Arabidopsis thaliana: one gene and its partner. The protein of the gene in region 1 purifies or fractionates together with the protein of each later gene. This does not show direct contact. Each region holds a gene or a part of one and is shown on either strand. Other genes may lie near its edges.

Region 1 (4,723 bases):
ATTCTAACTAGTTAAACCATTATTTTGTTATGCCTAAGGATGAGTTGAAAGAAGAGAAACTAAAGGCCAAGGAAGAAGCAGAGGACTTAACACAAGAAATGGCTGAATTAAGATATGAAATGACATGTTTATTGGAGGAAGAATGCAAGCGGCGTGCATGCATCGAACAAGCATCATTACAAAGAATAGCCAATCTAGAAGCACAGGTACTTGCTTCTTTATATCTTCCAATTTTTTTATTTTTTTTGAGCCATCAGATATTGTTGAAGGAACCTAACAAATATCCATTTTCTTGTTAAGATCAAGAGAGAGAAGAACAAGTCCTCAACTTGCTTAGTTCCTCTTCCTGCTGTATAAACCAGCTAAGGTTCGAGTTAAACTTGAAATCACAGTTAATGCCTCAAATAAGCCTTTAAGCTATAAGGTTTGAATTCTTATGTATTTAAAGTGTACATAATCCAATTTGATTGGAAATTGGAATATAGATTTCATCCCTGTGATTATGTTTATATATGGAAATTGAGTTTTACAAGAGTGAAACTGCTTCTTCATGTGCCTACCAAAAAAAAAAACTGCTTCTTCATGTGGCTTCTAAGTGTTTAATTACGCCTTCAGCAACATGTAGAGATCTTGAGAAATTGACATGAGTCTCTAGAGAATGTTGAAAGCTGTGGTCGTTGACCAAGAAGATTCTTACTATTTGACTCTATTTGATAGGCCTGTAATGAGCCTAGGTCAATAAGGCTGAGTTTATTTGATGGCCCGTTTTTCTCTCTTTTATTGTTCTTCTTTTTCTTGTGAAAATAAAGAAATCTGGAAGCGTTGTTGTATCATCATGTATGTGCAGAGTCTAGTAACCTTGTTGTTGATGCAAAGGGATAAATGAATGGGTCAAGGAAAAGAACCTGTTGTCTTTATTGTTAATCAAGACACTTGTAGATTTGTTGTCTAACCTAATCCAACTTGACTTTAAGCAAAAACATATTCCAACTTGTTCTTCACCAAAATGATATGTTGAAATATCGTATCTACTAGGACATCAAGATTTTGTTGTAGTCGTTATCAATGTAACCGGTAACAAATAAAAATTAATGAGATAAATTAGGCATGATCATATCCATAGATATTGTCAAACAATTTTCTATCTTCAAGTAGTTTTTGGTTTTGGGCGAAAATATGTTCTCTTTGACAAATTCAACAAAGACCATTCTTTTTGGATGACAAAATTGACAACTTACCCATTCTTTTTGGGCTCATACAATTTATCAACTAAACCATCAGTACAAAAAAAGAAGCAGAAATTAGAAAAATATAAGAAAATGACTCTTTCTCTGTAAGAAAAAATCCAACTACGTTTATTATATCCACAATTACGTCCTATATACAATTAAAAAGATCTAAATTGCTCTATTTTCGTTAGAAAGTAGTTACTTTTTACTTTTTTAGAAGTTTGATCTAGAAAAAAAAAGAATTATATATATGACCGTTTTAGATTTGAATTAAATGATTTTGTTTTATTTATTAATTGATCCACGTTCCTTTCTACAATTTGTTTTTTTTTTAATCTCCTTGATAAATTTTCGTCAACACATACCCAAAGACCTCCTTGTTGTACTCTCAAATTCTTGGGTCGTTCTGAGTCGTCTCCGCGTTAAATCTTTTCCCTTTTTGATCCTTTCTTCCTTTCTTCTTCTTCTTCGCATTGATTTGGTCCTCCTTCCTCTTCTATTCTATTCATTAAGAACCTAATCTTCATCTTCTCCATCTTCTTCTTCACGGACTCCACTTCGCTCATCCAGGTAACCACAATCTGCTCTCTATCTTTTGCTTCAAAATTCTCAGTTCCTTTCTTCTCAATTTCCGTCTGCTAGATCCTGGGCTTTCGATTTGTTCCGTTCCTCTTCTGCGATTGTTTCGTTCCAGAGAGAATTATCGAAATAATTAAGCGAATTTTGTGTGTGGTTTTCATAGTCTTGGGTTCTTTAGCCGCTACATATACTCAATTATGCCCAAAATTAGGTTTAAAATTGATTAACTAAAACTTATACTTTTTGGTCTCGTCTTATGTTATCGTTTAAATTGTTCTTAGAAGTGAAATCATTCGATGCTACGTTTTTGACTTGTTGCTTTACTTTATCTATACCTTTGATTTGATCAACTTTTCTCTTAGCTTACAAGTTAGAATCAAAGCATCAATCCTGATTACTGTTTTGGTTTCTGCAGGAAGGTTTATTAGTAGTAACCAATCCAAGTGTTCCTTTTGTTTGAAGCAACAAGCTTTGTGATATTATCCTGAGAGACAATGTTTGGTTTAAGGAAATCACCGGCAAATCTTCCCAAGCATAACTCAGTCGACCTCAAGTCTTCCAAGCCAAATCCTTTCGATTCAGATGATGAATCTGACAACAAACATACCCTTAACCCTTCTAAGAGGACTACCTCTGAACCCTCTTTGGCTGATATGACAAACCCTTTTGGTGGTGAGAGAGTTCAGAAAGGAGATAGTAGTTCATCCAAACAGTCATTGTTTTCGAACTCCAAATACCAGTACAAGAACAATTTCCGTGATTCTGGTGGTATTGAAAACCAGTCGGTTCAGGAGCTTGAAGGTTATGCTGTGTACAAGGCTGAAGAGACTACGAAATCTGTACAAGGTTGTTTGAAGGTAGCAGAAGATATAAGGTCTGATGCTACCAGAACTTTGGTCATGTTACACGATCAGGGCGAGCAAATCACTAGGACGCACCATAAAGCCGTTGAAATCGACCATGATCTCAGTCGTGTGAGTTTTTCTTCCTTCTGGTTCTTGATTATAAAATGGAAACATTCAATCTTTTTCTGAGGACATTAGTTGGTGTGAGATAAGAAGACGGTAGACATTTGATGCTGAAACTAGTTGGATTTTTGGTTTTCAGGGTGAGAAACTTCTTGGAAGCCTTGGAGGCATGTTTTCAAAGACTTGGAAACCAAAGAAGACTCGTCCTATAAATGGTCCCGTCGTAACCAGAGGTTTGCTTCTTGGTCATTGATATCTCAATTCTTCTCGCAGCTATTTTACTTTCACCTAATTGCTGAATCCTTTATTTTGTGTTTTTGCTTAGATGACTCACCAACGAGAAGAGTTAACCACTTAGAGAAAAGGGAAAAACTGGGACTGAACTCAGCACCCAGAGGACAATCAAGAACCCGAGAACCACTCCCCGAATCAGCTGATGCTTATCAGAGAGTGGAGGTTTGGACTTCTCTTCCCTCTCTTCAATTTTTCCTTTCATAAGAACATTACTATACTCCTGCATCTGATATGAGTGATGCATGAACTCTTTATCTGTGGTCCTGTAATGCTAACAATTTGAGACATTGATGACTCATCAATGATGAGCATATATATCTGAGTGAAAAACATGTGTTTTGGACGCCACTAAACTTAATACTGGTTTATTACAGATGGAAAAAGCTAAGCAAGACGATGGGCTTTCAGACTTGAGTGATATACTCGGCGAGCTAAAGAACATGGCTGTTGACATGGGAAGCGAAATCGAGAAGCAGAACAAAGGACTTGACCATCTTCATGATGATGTTGACGAACTCAACTTCAGAGTGCAACAATCAAACCAACGTGGTCGCCGTTTGCTTGGAAAGTAGATGAACAGAGGGTTTATATGTTCATTACACTCATTCCTCGTTTGTTTTATTCTCTATGAAGTTGTTCTTTAAAACTGGAAAGATTCTTATCATGTTAAATACATTATTGCTATCTGTGTTTGTATTTGATCTTGTGACAAAAAACCAAAAAACTTATTGATCAAACAGAAGCAACTTTGGTATCGTTTTTATCTGTATCATAAAGCTTTCTCAAGAAATTCTGATAATAGATGAAATTATGAGTTTTAATCTCAGATTTATAACCTAAAAATATCAGTGCTAGAATACGACATAAGAATACAGAAACTCCAGACAAGTTGGAACATATGTTATGCAACAACTGCACAATCATGTGAGATTATTCAAAAGAACAAAAAAACCAGGAACTCTTCATTCCCTTTAGTCTTCCTCAGCTACAATCCAAGGGATATATTCCACAATGTCCTCTTCTTCACTTGTATAATGTCTGAAGCCATAAAACACAAAGACTACTAATGAGAACTAGACAAAGCAATCTGACATAGTTGGAAAGAACTATGAATAGAGGAAATAATAATCTCATACAAACACCACTTGTTCCCGAATCATATTCTCAAGCCACAAACTCGACAATCAATGAATATAAAGTGGCTCCAACATGACCATTAAAAACAAATAGCTTTGGAGGATATTGTAATGACAAACATACATCTACTGAAGCTTGACTTCCATGATGTTCTTGGTCTTGGGAGGATATGCCAAGTAAACCTTGAGCACTCTCTCAGCAACAAAAAGCTGTTTTTTAGCTTCAGCATAAGCCTCAGTCACCTTCGATGGGTCAGTGAGATTCTTGTTCATGCGGAAGCCATCCAAGGTCCTTCGCTTACTGTACTCCCTAATGTTGTAATCAGGGAATTGACGTCCCGCTCGAAGCAAGGCACGACATAGGCTAAGAACTTCACTACTAGACACCATTGCAAGATTGGAAACTAACCCTTAATTATACAAAGCCTGGTTAACTGCAATCAGTATAAGAACACAAAGAAGCTGAGATTAGCAATGCCGAAAAGGAAGAGAAGTAGTCAAGATGATCAAGGGATAA
Region 2 (4,783 bases), on another chromosome or scaffold:
AACCAATGTTTGCCTGAGTCTTGTGTTGTTCTTGACCAGGTCATGTGTTTAGTATTTTTTTTAAGTGAAGGGGGATAATCTTTAAATCTTTTATATGTAAGAATATTGTTCTTCTCGAATTTCATCAGTTGTTGCTTCTAGAAATTTTAGATTTTTTGGGTGGCAGCCATTTCTATATTTCGATGGATAAGTCAAACGTTCATAAAGTCAAGGGTTCTGCCTTTTGTTTGTGTTTCATGATTTTACCTTGAATTTCATTAACTAAAACAGTGTTAATAGTAACAGTTGGGGTGGTGGCGCAGTTGGCTAGCGCGTAGGTCTCATAGCTACTGAGTGATCCTGAGGTCGAGAGTTCGAGCCTCTCTCACCCCATAATTTTATTTTCTCATAGCTATTTATATAACGTTCCTTCTAGTATTTTTTTTTCTTTTCGTTATAGTATCTTGTCTTTGATACCGGAGACGTTATAACGGCAGTATAAGACGTTATAATCATGTTCCAATGCATCCCCTCAGTTTTGTGTTAAAAACGAGCCATCAATGTTATCATATATGGAAATCATTATTGAGGCTTTGACCAATTAATTATGCGAATTGACCGACTTTGATCACTATACAGAGCAAAACAAATCCACTGAATCATTTATTTGTGTAGGTTCATCTTTTTTGGGCACCGTATTCATTTCTTATTCCATGAATTTGACGGAGTAATTTTGATTTTCTTTTTCGAGTAAGAATCTGGTCAAATATTCGATGAACCTCTACAAAAAAAATTAACCTCTATAAAAGTGTAGATTAACCAAGTGTTTCATCACAAACCATTTCAACGTAAACGAAACAACAACTACTACTCTCAACTTTACACTCTCTTGATAAGTCTCGATGATGAATAACATGAAGCTCTTGATCATCGCTGTGATGATCATCTCGGCAGCTTTGCTTCCAGCGCTTGTGGTCGGATCTCGTCCGGTAAAATGTGACAATTGCATGGACGGTGGAGAAAAAGAAGAGATCATGAAGATGAGTTCAGGTGTAGATGTGAGCCATAGGATACTTCAAGCTAAGAGATTTATAGATTACGAAGCATTGAAGAAAAACTTACCAGCCAAACCAGATGGTAAACCGGATAAACCGGATAACAAATACCGACGTGGTTGCAGTGCCGCTACAGGATGTTACCGCTTTACAAATTAAACATAAACCACCTCTCTCTTCTTCTTCTTCTTCCTTTCGTTGGTGTGTTTTATTTTATTTTTAATTAGTATTTCCAATCACATTTCTTATTATTATATTTTATTGCAATTTGTAAGCCTTTGAGGCATTATCTCCTAGAGAGTTAGAATAAACTTCGTTTAGAAATTGTCATCCTTTTCTCACCAAATGATTGACGAGTGAAAATTGATCTCATCGTAAAGTATTTTTGCGGTCAAGTTCAAACAAATTGATCCCTTCTCTCGCACCATATTCTTGTTTTATTTTATTTAAACGATCGATATATTTCCAAACCATTCCTCCAAAACTATCACACATTCACACCTACCAATTTCAACTTTAAATACAAAATATAGTCTTGTTGTAAATATAAGATACACTTTAGAAGTGTACACGTGAAATTCAGGTATATATATTACAATAGTAAGCAACCTCTAAGTACAATTAAATCAAGAAAAAAATAGATTTGAATTAATAGGAGCGGACATGGGATGCATGTAGAATTGTAGATTATCATTTATTATGGTGACTAGACCATTGAACTTTCCTATAACTTTGAAAATATTCTTATTTAGTCATTTAATTTAGATTACACCAAAACCCCAAATATGCCAAATTTTCTACAAATACCCCAAAAAAGACAATTTATAAAATTATTATCCAACCACATGTAATAATCTTTGATGACTTTTAAGTTTTAAATTTTAATAGTAGATTTAGATAATATAGGAACCAATTATTCAAAGGTCAAAGTTCAAACTAGCTTATCCAAATTCATTTTCGCTGATAAAAATACGTTGAAACTATCAAATAACAAAATACCATTACACCAACATCACCAACTTTTTAAAACCCCACAAGTTGATTATTTGAATTTGCTTTTAGGTCCTCAAGTTCAAGATTGTTTCAATTTGCACAATCTGCATAAATCTTTCTGAAATATAACTTTTTTGCCCTCTAAAACTCAAGGGTTTGATTTTTCTTCTTCAACTACGTTAAGATTTCTCCTACACTTTTCTTTTTCACCGTATTCTCTTTTAGTCCTCGATTCTCTACGCGTTTCAGCGTCAAGTCTTCTAGATCTCTAAAGCCTTCGTGCTCGCCAATATAAATCTCTGAGATCGGTCCCGTAAAATCGGATTCGCGTCGTTTTTGAGTAAAAAAAATGGCGCAACAATCGTTGATCTACAGTTTCGTCGCTCGTGGTACCGTTATCCTCGTTGAGTTCACAGATTTCAAAGGCAATTTCACATCAATCGCTGCTCAGTGCCTTCAGAAGCTTCCTTCTTCTAACAACAAGTTTACCTACAACTGCGATGGTCACACGTTCAATTACCTCGTCGAAAATGGATTCAGTGAGTCAAAATATTGCTCGATCTGTAAGCGTAGCTTGTTTGTGTTTTGATTTATCCATTGTTTGAATTAGATTTTTTGCCTAATTGAGAAATATGAATCGAGTTCTTATGTTTGGTATAGTTTCCAGTAATAATTATGTATTGGCGTTGATAATTAATTGATGTTAGATCTATGGTAATCAGTGATATTTTTGGTGGATCTATCAATGAATATTTGCAATTTTTGTTCTGGATCTATTGATTCTTTGCTTATTTGCGTGTAGCTTTCGATATCATGAAGTTTTTGGCATTAGTGTATTGTGTTCTTTATGTAACTCTGTTTTACTAAACCTAATTGGGTTTTGGGTGATGTTGATGGCGGATATGGTCTCTTTATGATAGTGTTAACTTTCTTATCAGCGATATATTGATGAATCTATTGCTTTATCTCTTAATATAGAGTTTAAAATGGACCGGTTTTGTTTTCGTTTGTGCAGCCTATTGTGTTGTTGCAGTTGATTCTGCTGGGAGGCAGATTCCTATGGCTTTCTTGGAACGAGTTAAGGAGGATTTCAACAAGAGATATGGTGGTGGAAAGGCTGCAACTGCTCAAGCAAACAGCTTGAATAAAGAATTTGGGTATGTGTTTTTTGATCTCTTTGATTGGTATTGAAAAGGGTCTATGATTCATGGGCATAGTTATTGATGGACTTCTTTTTGGCTTCTCTAAAGGTCGAAACTGAAAGAGCATATGCAGTATTGCATGGATCATCCTGATGAGATTAGCAAGCTTGCTAAGGTTAAAGCTCAAGTGTCTGAAGTTAAAGGTGTTATGATGGAAAACATTGAGAAGGTTTGATTCTGACCCTTTTTTCTTTTTATCGATATAGTTTTATGTTGTAAACCTTTTCGAACAGAGTTCAGCTTGTATGACTTTAGTACCAGGATCTTATGATTCGTAAAGCATAAACTGTAGAGAGGAATGTTTTATTCTCGGTTGTGAAGACATATTCTGTTGTTAACTCGTTTATGCATTCGTTTGCAGGTTCTTGACCGTGGTGAGAAGATTGAGCTTTTGGTTGACAAAACAGAAAACCTTCGCTCACAGGTTTGTTTTCTAAATGGTTCAAAGTCAATAGACCCACACAGAGACATGCAAGAGTTTGCAGCTTTCTCTTACTGATTGTTGTTTCTTGGGTTTCTAACTTTAAATTTGAACTCGACTTTATCACAGGCGCAAGATTTTAGAACACAAGGAACTCAAATGAGAAGAAAGATGTGGTTTCAGAACATGAAGATAAAGCTCATTGTCCTTGCAATTATCATTGCCTTGATTCTCATCATCATCCTCTCAATTTGTGGGGGATTCAACTGCGGTAAATAAGTCTGGAACATTTCTTCCCGGCGTTATCGACTGCGCTCTGTGCTTCCCAAGATCTCTGAGAATATCTTCATTCAGTTCGTTGTGCTACCTTTTTGTTTTGTTTTTGTTTTTGTGATTTCTATATTCTCATACTATATGTTTCTTCTTAGATTGTACTTCTTGAAATTTGTTTTGTATAGGCTATATATATTATACATATATGTATGCATGTTCGACAATCTGCAATGTTGCTATTGCTGGTACTGACACTAATTCTTGCAAACCAATATTTGGACGATACTTGTTCTTGGCAATTTACTAATTTCTTTGGTCTGTTGATGAGACTCTAGTTGCGGATTGCAGTGAGGTATAAGCATAGTCCACAGCCGGTTAATATTAAATGGAGATGAATATGTAATTAACACGGTTTCGTCTGACCGATTCACCAGAGTCTCCGGTTAGTTCATTAAGGGTTTGCTCAAACGCTTTCTCCTCTGCTTCCCTAATTTCGGAAACATTCGCCTGATTTTCTGAGATTTTGGAATTTCTTCGAATTGATTGCCATGCTGAGCTCAAGATTTCGACTGCTGAAATCGAGGCGACTTGCGGAGCCACCTCCGGCTGATGTCGCGGTTATGTGTATTTGCAGGAAATGAAAGTGATCTCCTTATTGCGGCAAATCAGCCACTTCCTGTCGACTAAAACTGTGGTGCAGCATGTAAGAACAAATGCAAGTTCGGACAAACGTGTTGTCTTGGTCAGTGGTTTTACTTGGCTTAGTCTTCGATTCTCTACGCGTTTCAGCGTCAAGTTTTCTAGATCTCTAAAGCTTTCGTGCTCGCCGATATAAATCTCTAATATCGGTCCCGTAAGAT

What was found.
Region 2: the proteins of SNAP33 (region 1) and SAR1 purify together in Arabidopsis thaliana (affinity purification with western blotting, with the first as the bait; 2 studies listed by BioGRID). This does not show direct contact.

The regions. Positions count from the first base shown.
Region 1 is NC_003076.8:24,621,725-24,626,447, forward strand, and holds SNAP33 (soluble N-ethylmaleimide-sensitive factor adaptor protein 33), read left to right. Parts: upstream 1-1,523; 5' UTR 1,524-1,799; exon of another isoform or gene 1,800-2,019; intron 2,020-2,223; 5' UTR 2,224-2,302; coding exon 2,303-2,782; intron 2,783-2,915; coding exon 2,916-3,009; intron 3,010-3,101; coding exon 3,102-3,232; exon of another isoform or gene 3,233-3,444; coding exon 3,445-3,642; 3' UTR 3,643-3,907; downstream 3,908-4,723. Other genes in the region: AT5G61200 (myosin heavy chain-like protein), read left to right, coding at 39-206, 301-357; AT5G61220 (LYR family of Fe/S cluster biogenesis protein), read right to left, coding at 4,333-4,596. UniProt on the Arabidopsis thaliana protein: t-SNARE involved in diverse vesicle trafficking and membrane fusion processes, including cell plate formation. May function in the secretory pathway.
Region 2 is NC_003071.7:14,042,931-14,047,713, reverse strand, and holds SAR1 (synaptobrevin-related protein 1), read left to right. Parts: upstream 1-2,170; 5' UTR 2,171-2,376; coding exon 2,377-2,590; intron 2,591-3,042; coding exon 3,043-3,184; intron 3,185-3,277; coding exon 3,278-3,398; intron 3,399-3,590; coding exon 3,591-3,653; intron 3,654-3,779; coding exon 3,780-3,929; 3' UTR 3,930-4,255; downstream 4,256-4,783. Other genes in the region: RALFL18 (ralf-like 18), read left to right, coding at 882-1,193. UniProt on the Arabidopsis thaliana protein: Involved in the targeting and/or fusion of transport vesicles to their target membrane.